Xenopus tropicalis: one gene and its partners. The protein of the gene in region 2 interacts with the protein of the main gene of each other region in a biochemical or structural test. Links are inferred from orthologs where the notes say so. Each region holds a gene or a part of one and is shown on either strand. Other genes may lie near its edges.

What was found. The genes of interacting proteins can lie anywhere in the genome.
Region 1: the proteins of srf (region 2) and elk1 form a complex in vitro, tested with the Homo sapiens proteins (2 studies listed by BioGRID). The link is inferred for Xenopus tropicalis from reciprocal best matches to the Homo sapiens genes SRF and ELK1.
Region 3: the proteins of srf (region 2) and myog form a complex in vitro, tested with the Homo sapiens proteins (2 studies listed by BioGRID and IntAct). The link is inferred for Xenopus tropicalis from reciprocal best matches to the Homo sapiens genes SRF and MYOG.

Annotation. Positions count from the first base shown.
Region 1 is NC_030684.2:1,344,524-1,348,585, reverse strand, and holds the start of elk1 (ETS domain-containing protein Elk-1), read right to left. Parts: upstream 2,801-4,062; 5' UTR 2,663-2,800; coding exon 2,227-2,662; intron 2,213-2,226; exon of another isoform or gene 1,992-2,212; coding exon of another isoform or gene 1,979-1,991; intron 1,832-1,978; coding exon 1,623-1,831; intron 1-1,622. UniProt on the Homo sapiens protein: Transcription factor that binds to purine-rich DNA sequences. Forms a ternary complex with SRF and the ETS and SRF motifs of the serum response element (SRE) on the promoter region of immediate early genes such as FOS and IER2.
Region 2 is NC_030681.2:1,168,602-1,172,780, reverse strand, and holds the start of srf (serum response factor), read left to right. Parts: upstream 1-1,349; 5' UTR 1,350-2,382; exon of another isoform or gene 2,383-2,462; 5' UTR 2,463-2,696; coding exon 2,697-3,074; intron 3,075-4,179. UniProt on the Homo sapiens protein: SRF is a transcription factor that binds to the serum response element (SRE), a short sequence of dyad symmetry located 300 bp to the 5' of the site of transcription initiation of some genes (such as FOS).
Region 3 is NC_030678.2:54,934,955-54,939,209, forward strand, and holds the start of myog (myogenin), read left to right. Parts: upstream 1-1,455; 5' UTR 1,456-1,491; coding exon 1,492-1,998; intron 1,999-4,255. UniProt on the Homo sapiens protein: Acts as a transcriptional activator that promotes transcription of muscle-specific target genes and plays a role in muscle differentiation, cell cycle exit and muscle atrophy.

The DNA.
Region 1 (4,062 bases), on a different chromosome or scaffold from region 2:
CGGTACCAAATACTCTTATGGTATATTCTTGTGGTACCAAATACTCTCATGGTATCAAATACTCTTGTGGTACCAAATACTCTCATGGTACCAAATACTCTCACGGTACCAAATACTCATGGTATCAAATACTCTTACAATACCAAATACACTTATAATATCAAATACTCTAATGGCACCAAATACTCTCACTACTCTCATGGTACCAAATACTCTTACGGTACCAAATAATCTTATGGTACCAAATACTCTTGTGGTACCAAATACTCTCACTACTCTCATGGTACCAAATACTCTTGTGGTACCAAATACTCTCATGGTACCAAATACTCTTATCATACCAAATACTCTCATGATACCACATACTCTCACGGTACCAAATACTCTTGTGGTACCAAATACTGTCACTACTCTCATGGTACCAAATACTCTCACTACTCTTGTGGTACCAAACACTCTCATGGTACCAAATACTCTCACTACTCTCATTGTACCAAATACTCTCATGGTATCAAACACTCTTAAGGTATCAAATATTCTCATGGTATCAAATACTCTTTAGGTACCAAATACATTCACTACTCTCATGGTATCAAATACTCTCATGGTATCAAATATTCTTGTGGTACCAAATACTCTCATGGTACCAAATACTCTTGTGGTACTTGCACACTGCCCAACGCTCTCATACTAGTACTCTCCTAGCCATACTGTTACCCTCACAGCCATACTAGTACTCTCCTGGACATACTGTTACTCTTACAGCCATACTAGTACTTTCCTGGCCATACTGTTACCCTCATGGCCATACTAGTACTCTCCTGGCCATACTGCTACCCTCACAACCATACCAGTACTCTCCTGGCCATACTGTAAAAAGTGAGAGTAGGGTTCACCTGGTGATAGTAATAAGTGCGAGTGAGGCTCACCTGGTGATAGTATTAAGTGAGAGTGGGGCTCACCTGGTGATAGTAATAAGTGAGAGTGCGGCTCACCTGGTGATAGTAATAAGTGAGAGCGAGACTCACCTAGTGATGTTAATAAGTGAGAGCGCGGCTCACCTGGTGATGTTAATAAGTGAGAGCGCGGCTCACCTGGTGATGTTAATAAGTGAGAGCGCGGCTCACCTGGTGATGTTAATAAGTGAGAGCGCAGCTCACCTGGTGATGTTAATAAGTGAGAGCGCAGCTCACCTGGTGATGTTAATAAGTGAGAGCGCAGCTCACCTGGTGATGTTAATAAGTGAGAGTGGGGCTCACCTGGTGATGTTAATAAGTGAGAGCGCAGCTCACCTGGTGATGTTAATAAGTGAGAGCGCGGCTGACCTGGTGATGTTAATAAGTGAGAGCGCGGCTGACCTGGTGATAGTAATAAGTGAGAGCGCGGCTGACCTGGTGATGTTAATAAGTGAGAGCGCGGCTCACCTGGTGATAGTAATAAGTGAGAGCGCGGCTGACCTGGTGATGTTAATAAGTGAGAGCGCGGCTCACCTGGTGATGTTAATAAGTGAGAGTGGGGCTCACCTGGTGATAGTAATAAGTGAGAGCGCAGCTGACCTGGTGATGTTAATAAGTGAGAGCGCGGCTCACCTGGTGATGTTAATAAGTGAGAGCGCAGCTCACCTTGTCATAGTAATACCGGAGAGCGCGGCTGAGTTTATCGTAGTTCATGTTGGTCTTGTTCTTTCGCAGCCCCCACAGTCGCGCCACCTCCTCCGCATCCAGGAGCTTGAATTCCCCGTCGTTGGAGGTCCAGGAGATGAGGTGCCGGTGGCTCTGCTCTTCCAGCAACTGCAGGAGGAACTGCCAGAGGGTCCCAGAGGGGTCCATGACTGCGGGAGCAAAGAGACAGTCAGGCACTTGGGCAGAGAGAGGCGTGGGGCAATGGGAGACGGGGGCGACACACAGGGGGAGATGAGGGGGCAATAGCAGCAGCGGGGGGGACAGACAGTGGCCCTAGGGTAGTTATTGGTGCTCACCTGACTCTCTCATTGTGTTCCATGCCCGGCCTCTCTCTCACTGCTCAGCACTCTCCCCCACCGCTCCTCGCTCTCCCCCGCACTCACGCTGTTTACAAGATGATGTTGTGGAGAAGCGGACACGGCCATGGCAGAGAGGAGCGACAGAGTGGGAGGGACAGGGGGACAAGAGACAGCAGCGAATGAATTCACAGCACAACAACCCCCCCCAGATGCCCCCCCTCCCCACATTGTCCCCCCCCTCTCACCTGGAGACCTGAGCGACGAGAGCGCCCTCCCCTCCTGGTTACCTGACTGTCTCTCAGGGGACGCTCTCCCAGCCGCAGGCAGCTCTGGCCCCCCTGAGGGCACCCAAGGACACTGTGCCAGCCCTGGGCATGGCAGGGAGGGTGGGCAGGGCACTAGGAGACAAGAGAGGGCCGGGCCCCCATGTGTTGCCCCCCTGTGTCTGTGCAGCCCTCCTGCTCCTCTCCCTCCTGCTCCACTGCTGCCTCCGCTGCTCCACTGGCAGGGAGAGAATCCTGGCTGCACGTCAGGAGAAGGGGAGGAGCCTGGGGAAGGGGGAGGCGCCACCCATACGGGGAGAGTGGGTGGCACAGCGCCACCGAGGGGCACACACAGGAGCCTCCTACCCCCCAGCACTGGGTGCAGCAATTCAGCCCCATGGGGGGGGGGGGGGCACATAGGGCTAATGGGTCCCACACAGACTAGGGAGTAACTACAGCCATTCCCCCGGCACGTTGTGCAACTACAACTCCCAGCAGCCCTCACAGAGGTTTTGTGGGGAGATTATCAGTATTTACCCCGAGTCACAGCCATGGGGCAGAGAGTCTGGGGGGGGGGGGGGGCAAATAATCAGAGGGGAGGAGGGGCATCCACATTTAGAACAAGGATTGGTTCAGATGGGGGAATGTTTAGCCTGTACCTCGTTACTTGCCATCTCAAGGCTCTGTTGCCATGGCAACTAACAGACTGGAGCAGCAACCTGTACAGCACAGCTCCCCTTAACCCTTTGTCTGCCAGAGCCGCACAGCAATTAACTCCTCCCATGCCTGAGCCCCCCTGTGCTGCAAACTGATAGCTCCCGGGGTCAGTGTGGGCTCATAAATAGAACTATATGCCTGCCCCCAGGCATTCAGCCCCTTCCTATGCTGATGGTGAGATCCCCTTTCCTCCCCACCCCCAATGTATCACTCATTCCCCCTCTCTGGGTAGGGAACCCCATAACCTGACTGCCCTTACAGTAAGGAACCCCTTCCTATGCTGATGGTGAGATCCCCTTTCCTCCCCACCCCCAATGTATCACTCATTCCCCCTCTCTGGGTAGGGAACCCCATAACCTGACTGCCCTTACAGTAAGGAACCCCTTCCTATGCTGATGGTGAGATCCCCTTTCCTCCCCACCCCAATGTATCACTCATTCCCCCTCTCTGGGTAGGGAACCCCATAACCTGACTGCCCTTACAGTAAGGAACCCCTTCCTATGCTGATGGTGAGATCTCCTTTCCTCCCCACCCCCAATGTATCACTCATTCCCCCTCTCTGGGTAGGGAACCCCATAACCTGACTGCCCTTACAGTAAGGAACCCCTTCCTATGCTGATGGTGAGATCCCCTTTCCTCCCCACCCCAATGTATCACTCATTCCCCCTCTCTGGGTAGGGAACCCCATAACCTGACTGCCCTTACAGTAAGGAACCCCTTCCTATGCTGATGGTGAGATCTCCTTTCCTCCCCACCCCCAATGTATCACTCATTCCCCCTCTCTGGGTAGGGAATCCCATAACCTGACTGTCCTTACAGTAAGGAACCCCTTCCTATGCTGATGGTGAGATCCCCTTTCCTCCCCACCCCCAATGTATCACTCATTCCCCCTCTCTTGGTAGGGAATCCCATAACCTGACTGCCCTTACAGTAAGGAACCCCTTCCTATGCTGATGGTGAGATCCCCTTTCCTCCCCACCCCAATGTATCACTCATTCCCCCTCTCTGGGTAGGGAACCCCATAACCTGACTGCCCTTACAGTAAGGAACCCCTTCCTATGCTGATGGTGAGATCTCCTTTCCTCCCCACCCCCAATGTAT
Region 2 (4,179 bases):
ACTAAGGGCTGCGCGTGAGGGGCCCAGTAACTAAGGGCTGCGCGTGAGGGGCCCAGTAACTAAGGGCTGCGCGTGAGGGGCCCAGCAACTAAGGGCTGCGCGTGAGGGGCCCAGCAACTAAGGGCTGCGCGTGAGGGGCCCAGTAACTAAGGGCTGCGCGTGAGGGGCCCAGTAACTAAGGGCTGCGCGTGAGGGGCCCAGTATCTATAAGGGGAGAGAGGGGCCCCAGTATCTATAAGGGGAGAGAGGGGCCCCAGTATCTATAAGGGGGGAGAGGGGCCCCAGTATCTATAAGGGGAGAGGGGCCCCAGTATCTATAAGGGGAGAGAGGGGCCCCAGTATCTATAAGGGGAGAGAGGGGCCCCAGTATCTATAAGGGGGGAGAGGGGCCCCAGTATCTATAAGGGGGGAGAGGAGCGCCAGTATCTATAAGGGGGGAGAGGGGCCCCAGTATCTATAAGGGGGGAGAGGGGCCCCAGTATCTATAAGGGGAGAGAGGGGCCCCAGTATCTATAAGGGGGGAGAGGGGCCCCAGTATCTATAAGGGGAGAGGGGCCCCAGTATCTATAAGGGGAGAGAGGGGCCCCAGTATCTATAAGGGGAGAGAGGGGCCCCAGTATCTATAAGGGGGGAGAGGGGCCCCAGTATCTATAAGGGGAGAGGGGCCCCAGTATCTATAAGGGGAGAGAGGGGCCCCAGTATCTATAAGGGGAGAGAGGGGCCCCAGTATCTATAAGGGGAGAGAGGGGCCCCAGTATCTATAAGGGGAGAGAGGGGCCCCAGTATCTATAAGGGGAGAGAGGGGCCCCAGTATCTATAAGGGGAGAGAGGGGCCCCAGTATCTATAAGGGGAGAGAGGGGCCCCAGTATCTATAAGGGGAGAGAGGGGCCCCAGTATCTATAAGGGGTTACAGCGGACTCACTGGGGAAAGGGAAGTTCAGACGCACTACATTACCCATAATGCTACTACATTACCCATAATGCTACTACATTACCCATAATGCTACTACATTACCCATAATGCTACTACATTACCCATAATGCTCTATGCGCCAGATAGTAAAGGGGAGGAGACCCCAGGGCCCGGACACTTTCCCACAAGCCCCTGCGCTCAGCTGTTCGGACACATCAGGGGGCGGTACCTACTGAGGGAACAGCTGATCTCTAACCTCCCACGTGACTCGGGTTCGCTCTAAATGGACGTAACAGGCCCCGCCTCGCTTTCCCCCTTCCACCCAATCAGGGAAGCGCTGTGTCCGGGCCCCGGGCCAATGGGAGCGAAGCGCGGTGACTCACCATATAAGGAGAGGCTTTTCCATAAAAGGAAACATTGTAACGCTTTATAAGGGAGAAAATAGTCCCTCAGCGCCACTCCGGCTCATGTACCCTTCCGCCCAAACCATATTTAATGGGAATTAGTTCCGGCAAGGGGCGCGCAAGGATCTCATTTACACGCTCTGGCGGTGGGAACCGAGTGTGTGAGTGTGATGCGGCTCGGGATGTGATTGGTTGGAGCAGGGAGAGCGGGGAAGCCACAGCCAGACAGGCCGGTCAGGGAGAGGGAGTGCGGCCCGGGCCGGAACCAACAGTCCGACAGCGAGAGAGTCCGGGGGGGCAGGTATCCGTATTAGCCCCAGGGAGAGAGTCCGGGGGGGCAGGTATCCGTATTAGCCCCAGGGAGAGAGTCCGGGGGGGCAGGTATCCGTATTAGCCCCAGGGAGAGAGTCCGGGGGGGCAGGTATCCGTATTAGCCCCAGGGAGAGAGACGGGGGGGCAGGTATCCGTATTAGCCCCAGGGAGAGAGTCCGGGGGGGCAGGTATCCGTATTAGCCCCAGGGAGAGAGTCCGGGGGGGCAGGTATCCGTATTAGCCCCAGGGAGAGAGTCCGGGGGGGCAGGTATCCGTATTAGCCCCAGGGACAGAGTCCGGGGGGGCAGGTATCCGTATTTGCCCCAGGGAGAGAGTCCGGGGGGGCAGGTATCCGTATTAGCCCCAGGGAGAGAGTCCGGGGGGGCAGGTATCCGTATTAGCCCCAGGGAGAGAGTCCGGGGGGGCAGGTATCCGTATTTGCCCCAGGGAGAGAGTCCGGGGGGGCAGGTATCCGTATTAGCCCCAGGGAGAGAGTCCGGGGAGGGCAGGTATCCGTATTTGCCCCAGGGAGAGAGTCCGGGGGGGCAGGTATCCGTATTAGCCCCAGGGAGAGAGTCCGGGGGGGGCAGGTATCCGTATTAGCCCCAGGGAGAGAGTCCGGGGGGGGCAGGTATCCGTATTAGCCCCAGGGAGAGAGTCCGGGGGGGCAGGTATCCGTATTAGCCCCAGGGAGAGAGTCCGGGGGGGCAGGTATCCGTATTAGCCCCAGGGAGAGAGTCCGGGGGGGGCAGGTATCCGTATTAGCCCCAGGGAGAGAGTCCGGGGGGGCAGGTATCCGTATTAGCCCCAGGGAGAGAGTCCGGGGGGGCAGGTATCCGTATTAGCCCCAGGGAGCAGTGTTTGCTTTGCCCAGGCAAGGGGCACTGAGGAGCTCAGGTGGGGCATTTAAGTTTGTACCCCGGGCAGATTGCTAGTAGGCATTACCCCAGGAGGGTAGGTTAGTTATACCTATTATAGGCGGGTTTTGCCCCAAGGAAGGGCAGATTAGTAGGTTTTATCCCAGGAAGTGGTATAAGAGTGGGGCACCCCCCCATGCCCCCTAGGGATGTTGCCCAGTAGCCAGGCCGGGGTGGTGGGGTCAGGCCGGGGGCTGGGGTTGGCCCGCAGGGCAGGCAATGGGGCTGGTTGCCCAGGGGTTAGGGGCCCCGGGGTCCAATACAGCGGCAGCTCTGGGAGCTCAGACTCGGGGGAAGAGGAGGATCCTCCTGGGCGGGGGTTAAAGCGGGGGCTCAACGAGCTTGAGCTGCCGGAACAAGGGGGTGCAGCCGGCGGTGTGGGGTACCCGGGGGCCAGTGGCACGGTGTCAGGGGCAAAACCTGGCAAGAAAACCCGCGGCCGAGTGAAGATTAAGATGGAATTCATCGATAACAAACTGCGGCGCTACACGACCTTCAGCAAGCGCAAAACTGGCATCATGAAGAAGGTAAGTACCCCGGGGCATCTGGGGCAAAAGTACAAACAGCTAGGGTATATCGGGCATAGGGAACTTAGATTGTTAGCTCACTGGGGCAGGGGCTGATGGGAATGGGATAGGGACCTTAGATTGTTAGCTCACTGGGGCAGGGACTGATGGGAATGGGATAGGGACCTTAGATTGTAAGCTCACTGGGGCAGGGACTGATGGGAATGGGATAGGGACCTTAGATTGTAAGCTCACTGGGGCAGGGACTGATGGGAATGTGATAGGGACCTTAGATTGTAAGCTCACTGGGGCAGGGACTGATGGGAATGGGATAGGGACCTTAGATTGTAAGCTCACTGGGGCAGGGACTGATGGGAATGGGATAGGGACCTTAGATTGTATGCTCACTGGGGCAGGGACTGATGGGAATGTGATAGGGACCTTAGATTGTAAGCTCACTGGGGCAGGGGCTGATGGGAATGGGATAGGGGCCTTAGATTGTAAGCTCACTGGGGCAGGGACTGATGGGAATGGGATAGGGGCCTTAGATTGTAAGCTCACTGGGGCAGGGACTGAGGGAAATGGGATAGGGGCCTTAGATTGTAAGCTCACTGGGGCAGGGACTGAGGGGAATGGGATAGGGACCTTAGATTGTAAGCTCACTGGGGCAGGGACTGATGGGAATGGGATAGGGACCTTAGATTGTAAGCTCACTGGGGCAGGGACTGATGGGAATGTGATAGGGACCTTAGATTGTAAGCTCACTGGGGCAGGGACTGATGGGAATGGGATAGGGACCTTAGATTGTAAGCTCACTGGGGCAGGGACTGATGGGAATGGGATAGGGACCTTAGATTGTATGCTCACTGGGGCAGGGACTGATGGGAATGGGATAGGGACCTTAGATTGTAAGCTCACTGGGGCAGGGGACTGATGGGAATGGGATAGGGACCTTAGATTGTAAGCTCACTGGGGCAGGGACTGATGGGAATGGGATAGGGACCTTAGATTGTATGCTCACTGGGGCAGGGACTGATGGGAATGTGATAGGGACCTTAGATTGTAAGCTCACTGGGGCAGGGGCTGATGGGAATGGGATAGGGGCCTTAGATTGTAAGCTCACTGG
Region 3 (4,255 bases), on a different chromosome or scaffold from region 2:
TATATTAAAAGCATGTCCTGTCTATGCAAAAACTCCATTGAATTCCTAGATTTCATGGAGTCGCTGGAAGGCATAAAACGCACATATTGGTTATGTATTAAAAGACACTAAGTTGCCAGTTACAGTGCAACATCCAGCCCACTGGCCTCTAGTTGGACAGCCCATGTTGAAATAACAGAATAAACTATTATGGGTACCTTATAGACTTCTTCCTTCCCTCACTGTCATAACTGTAGTATTGCAGAATGAGCAGATCTGGGCCTGATTTGCCCCTGGGTCATTTTGGGCTGATCATTAGCCCTGGGGGCATTGGGACCTATGAAAGCCTGTCAAATGATGACCACACCAAAATGCTGATGCAGTCCACAGTTGATGGAATTTTCAAACCTGCCTGATTGATATCTGGATGATTTTCAGCCAAATATCGGTCAACCAGGCCCCATGCACAGGCTAATAAGCTGCTGACTCAGTTGACAGCTTTAAATGGCCCATGTATGGCCAGCTTTCATTCTTGTAGAACACATGCACAAGACATTGCTCATAAAGTAAACAGAGCGAATTAAAGGACACGTAAACTATGACAAAATAAACTTGCACCTGCATGGGAAATTATTGCACAAGGAAAGAGAGATTAACAAAATTTAAAAGGTAAAATATTCACCCGCCTCTGACATATACTGGTTTTTATACATCACCATATTGTTGTATCAGTTATTGCCTTTATTCTGTATTGTGCGCAAGAATCAGCCTTTTGTCTATTGTATTCTCTGTATCAGATGTACCTAACCACTGCATTCTAAATCAAATATAAATATGATATTCTCAGTGCTCCTTTATCAACCCAGACATTACATATGAATGTATATGGCACTCTTGAATGCAAGGCAGCAATAAACAGAAGGGAAAAATGACACTATAGCATAAATTCAAATGGGCAGTACATCGGGAATATAAAATACTATTTTTGTTTTATTTTTCCTGTATTGGTATCATTATTTTTAGGGCATTATTTTAGAGCATTATTTTTAATGTAATGAGATATACAGAAACACACAATCCAATTAAAAGCATACACACAGATTAATAAGCATATATACATTATATATATATATATATATATATATATACACACATGTATATGTACTCCTATTGTTCTGTCTAAATGAATGTGTTCTATATAAATAAATAATATAACTGTTACATGAACTTGAATACTAAAAAGGTTTTTAAAGGGGAATTTTTCTTTTGTCCTTTTTTTTCCCCTAGCTGAATCCTCCAGGGAGAATCCCTTCTTTTTCAGATGTAAAAAAAAGTTTTGATGTCAGGCAACAGCTAAAAAGTGGATCAGATTTCGTGAATGTTTTCTATATTTATCTGCGTGATTTAATGCTGGGCAGAGGGTTTAAATGGCATCAAACAGTTGGTGTGAAGAGTAGAAGAGCAGTTGCTGTGTAGTTGTCGAAAGGAAACACTTCTAGGCAGCCCTGTATGATGGAGCTTTTTGAAACCAGCCCTTATTTCTTTCCAGACCAAAGGTTTTATGACAATGATAACTATTTCTCTGCGAGGCTCCCTACATATGAGCAAACTGGGTTTCAAGATCGTGGCACTGTGGGGATATGTGCGGATGGGGTTTTATTGCAGGGCTCAGGAATTGAAGACAAGGTTTCTCCCCATCCCACTGTAACCCAACAAGAACATTGCCCTGGCCAATGCTTGCCATGGGCCTGCAAGGTATGCAAGAGGAAGACGGTTTCCATGGACAGAAGGAGGGCTGCTACCTTACGGGAAAAGCGCAGGTTAAAAAAAGTTAACGAGGCATTTGAAGCCCTGAAAAGAAGCACTCTGTTGAACCCTAACCAAAGGCTTCCAAAGGTTGAAATCTTAAGGAGCGCCATCCAGTATATAGAACGCTTGCAGACACTATTGGCTTCCCTTAACCAGCAGGAGAGGGACCAGAGAGATTTATTATTCATCAGTAATGGATCCCAACGGGTGGTAGGTAAAATCTTGTATAGAGTTTATCAATGTGCTTCATCCTGGAATCTTAATTGTTTTACACAGGCATGCCTACACATATACACCTAACAACCTTCTCTGAGCCACACTACACTGAACATAAATCAGCACACTATCTGTTTTAGTGTCATTATTTTCTCTGATTTATGTGCTAGTAATAACCAGGATCTACAATAAGCCAATGTGTCATAAAGCCACTAGGGAAGGGGTTTTTAAGATGAAGGGGGGGGGGTACTTAGCTATTGCTAAGTGAAATTAGGTCAGTTTTTAGATCTATTTAAATGTTTTACTTATTATTATAAGAATTTTCCTGTGTTTAGAATTTCACCATGTATAATTGTATGACAATATACATGGCTTATATTATATAAGCAGAAATAATGCTGTTGATGGAAATGATAAGAGGGCCTACATTGTGTGAAACAGCAGGTATGTCCAGTTATGATATACAATACCTGTTGGGCAAAGAGCTGTACATAACCCTGCTAGAAGCAAAACGTTTGTAAAGTGGAAAAGAAGGTAGGTTTAACCAGGAAAAGATCAAAGTCACAAAAATTGTGACATTTAAGGGCATTGAGGTCATTGTTGTGCTAAGAAATATATATCTTACCTTATCCTCTGCATTTGTGTCATTTGACTCAGTTTTATAGAACTCTCCAGTATAAAAAATAATTAAATTAAATGAAAAATCATTAAATTAAATAAAAAACATTCAAAGAATAATATATAGAGGATAAATATATGGAGCATTAACAATAATAATGAATATATTTAAGTTTAATATCATTGAGAGACAAAGCTCAGATCTTTCATCATCAACTTCTTTGACAAGTTTGAGGATACAAAACCTATAGTATAAGCATATACAATCAAGCTACACTAATCCAGACAAACTGCAATGTACCGACATATCTTCTGACCATATAGAAGGTATTATAAACTTACCGCTGTAGCTGTTGCAGAGCCATAATGTGAAAAGTCATTTCTCCATTGTGTTAATTTTGCAAAGCTACAGAGGCAAAATGATTGTTTTAAATATTATCTAGACAATACAGCAAGTACGATATTAAAGGGGTTAAATTAATACACACTGTTATTGCAGCAGACATATATAGTGATTTTTTTAGTAGGGATTAAGAGAAGGAGCAGAGAATAAAGAGAAATAATATAGTAGAATGCATGTTTTTAGTATGTTTCTTTAATGTATGTCAGTTTCTAGTATACTTGTTATGATTCCTTGTCTAAACCAGTTGTAAGGTCTTTAAATTCAGGGACAGCTGTCTAAATCTGTATATTCCTTTTCTGTGACCTTGATCACTGAATTTCAATAGGGTTTTTGTCTTCAGTAAGACTAGAGTAAAGCAAATGCATGTGCTTAGTTCCACTGTGTGTATATATATATACCACCATGAGATAGTGTAAGGATATATTGATATATTCGACAAAGTATAGAAATATAAGTAGAATTACTTTGTTTCATGGATAATTGGCAGGATTGCATTAAATAAATTCCAGTGTCTTTAGAACTTTCAATTATTGGCAAAATGTTTTCATCTAGGCAAACATGATTTTTTTTATTCTTTAAAAATACATACACACGTATTGTTTTTAAAATCTATGATATATTGATTTGTTGGTGCAATGGTACATATTAGGCAACATATTTCAACTAATCAAAACTGTGCAATTTGGCAATTCATGTGCATGTGCAAATTTCCTACTATCTCATACCTCAGCCAATGGCTGACCAATTAGTGCACACAAAATTGGCCTATGTCTGGCCAGCTTAGCTGTCTCTGTGAGGCAAAAATTATGGCCACAGTTTAAAGTCTAGAAATCATTGCTGTAGAGGAGGCAGCCTGTATAATTGCTATCTTGCACTTGCAACTAACGACCGGAAAGTGAATAAAATGCACTGTAAATAAACAGTAGAATATGGATCTCTCCTATACAGTCTGTATTGGTCGCTAACTCCTTTCAAGCCCTAAAGCCATATATTGGGAAATCTGAACTTTATCTGAGAGTAATAAAGGGCTCAGCTGACTGCATGATCCTAAAGCATTAGAATCATATTGATCCAGATATAATTACTGTCAGTGGCTGAAGAAGCTAACTTTCTCCCACTTTGCTAGATATAGATGTAAGATTGTAAGCCTGGAAAATTCACAATACTGCTAATATTGACTTGAGAGTACATTTATACAATTTATACTTTCACCACACTGAGCTGTGGCTC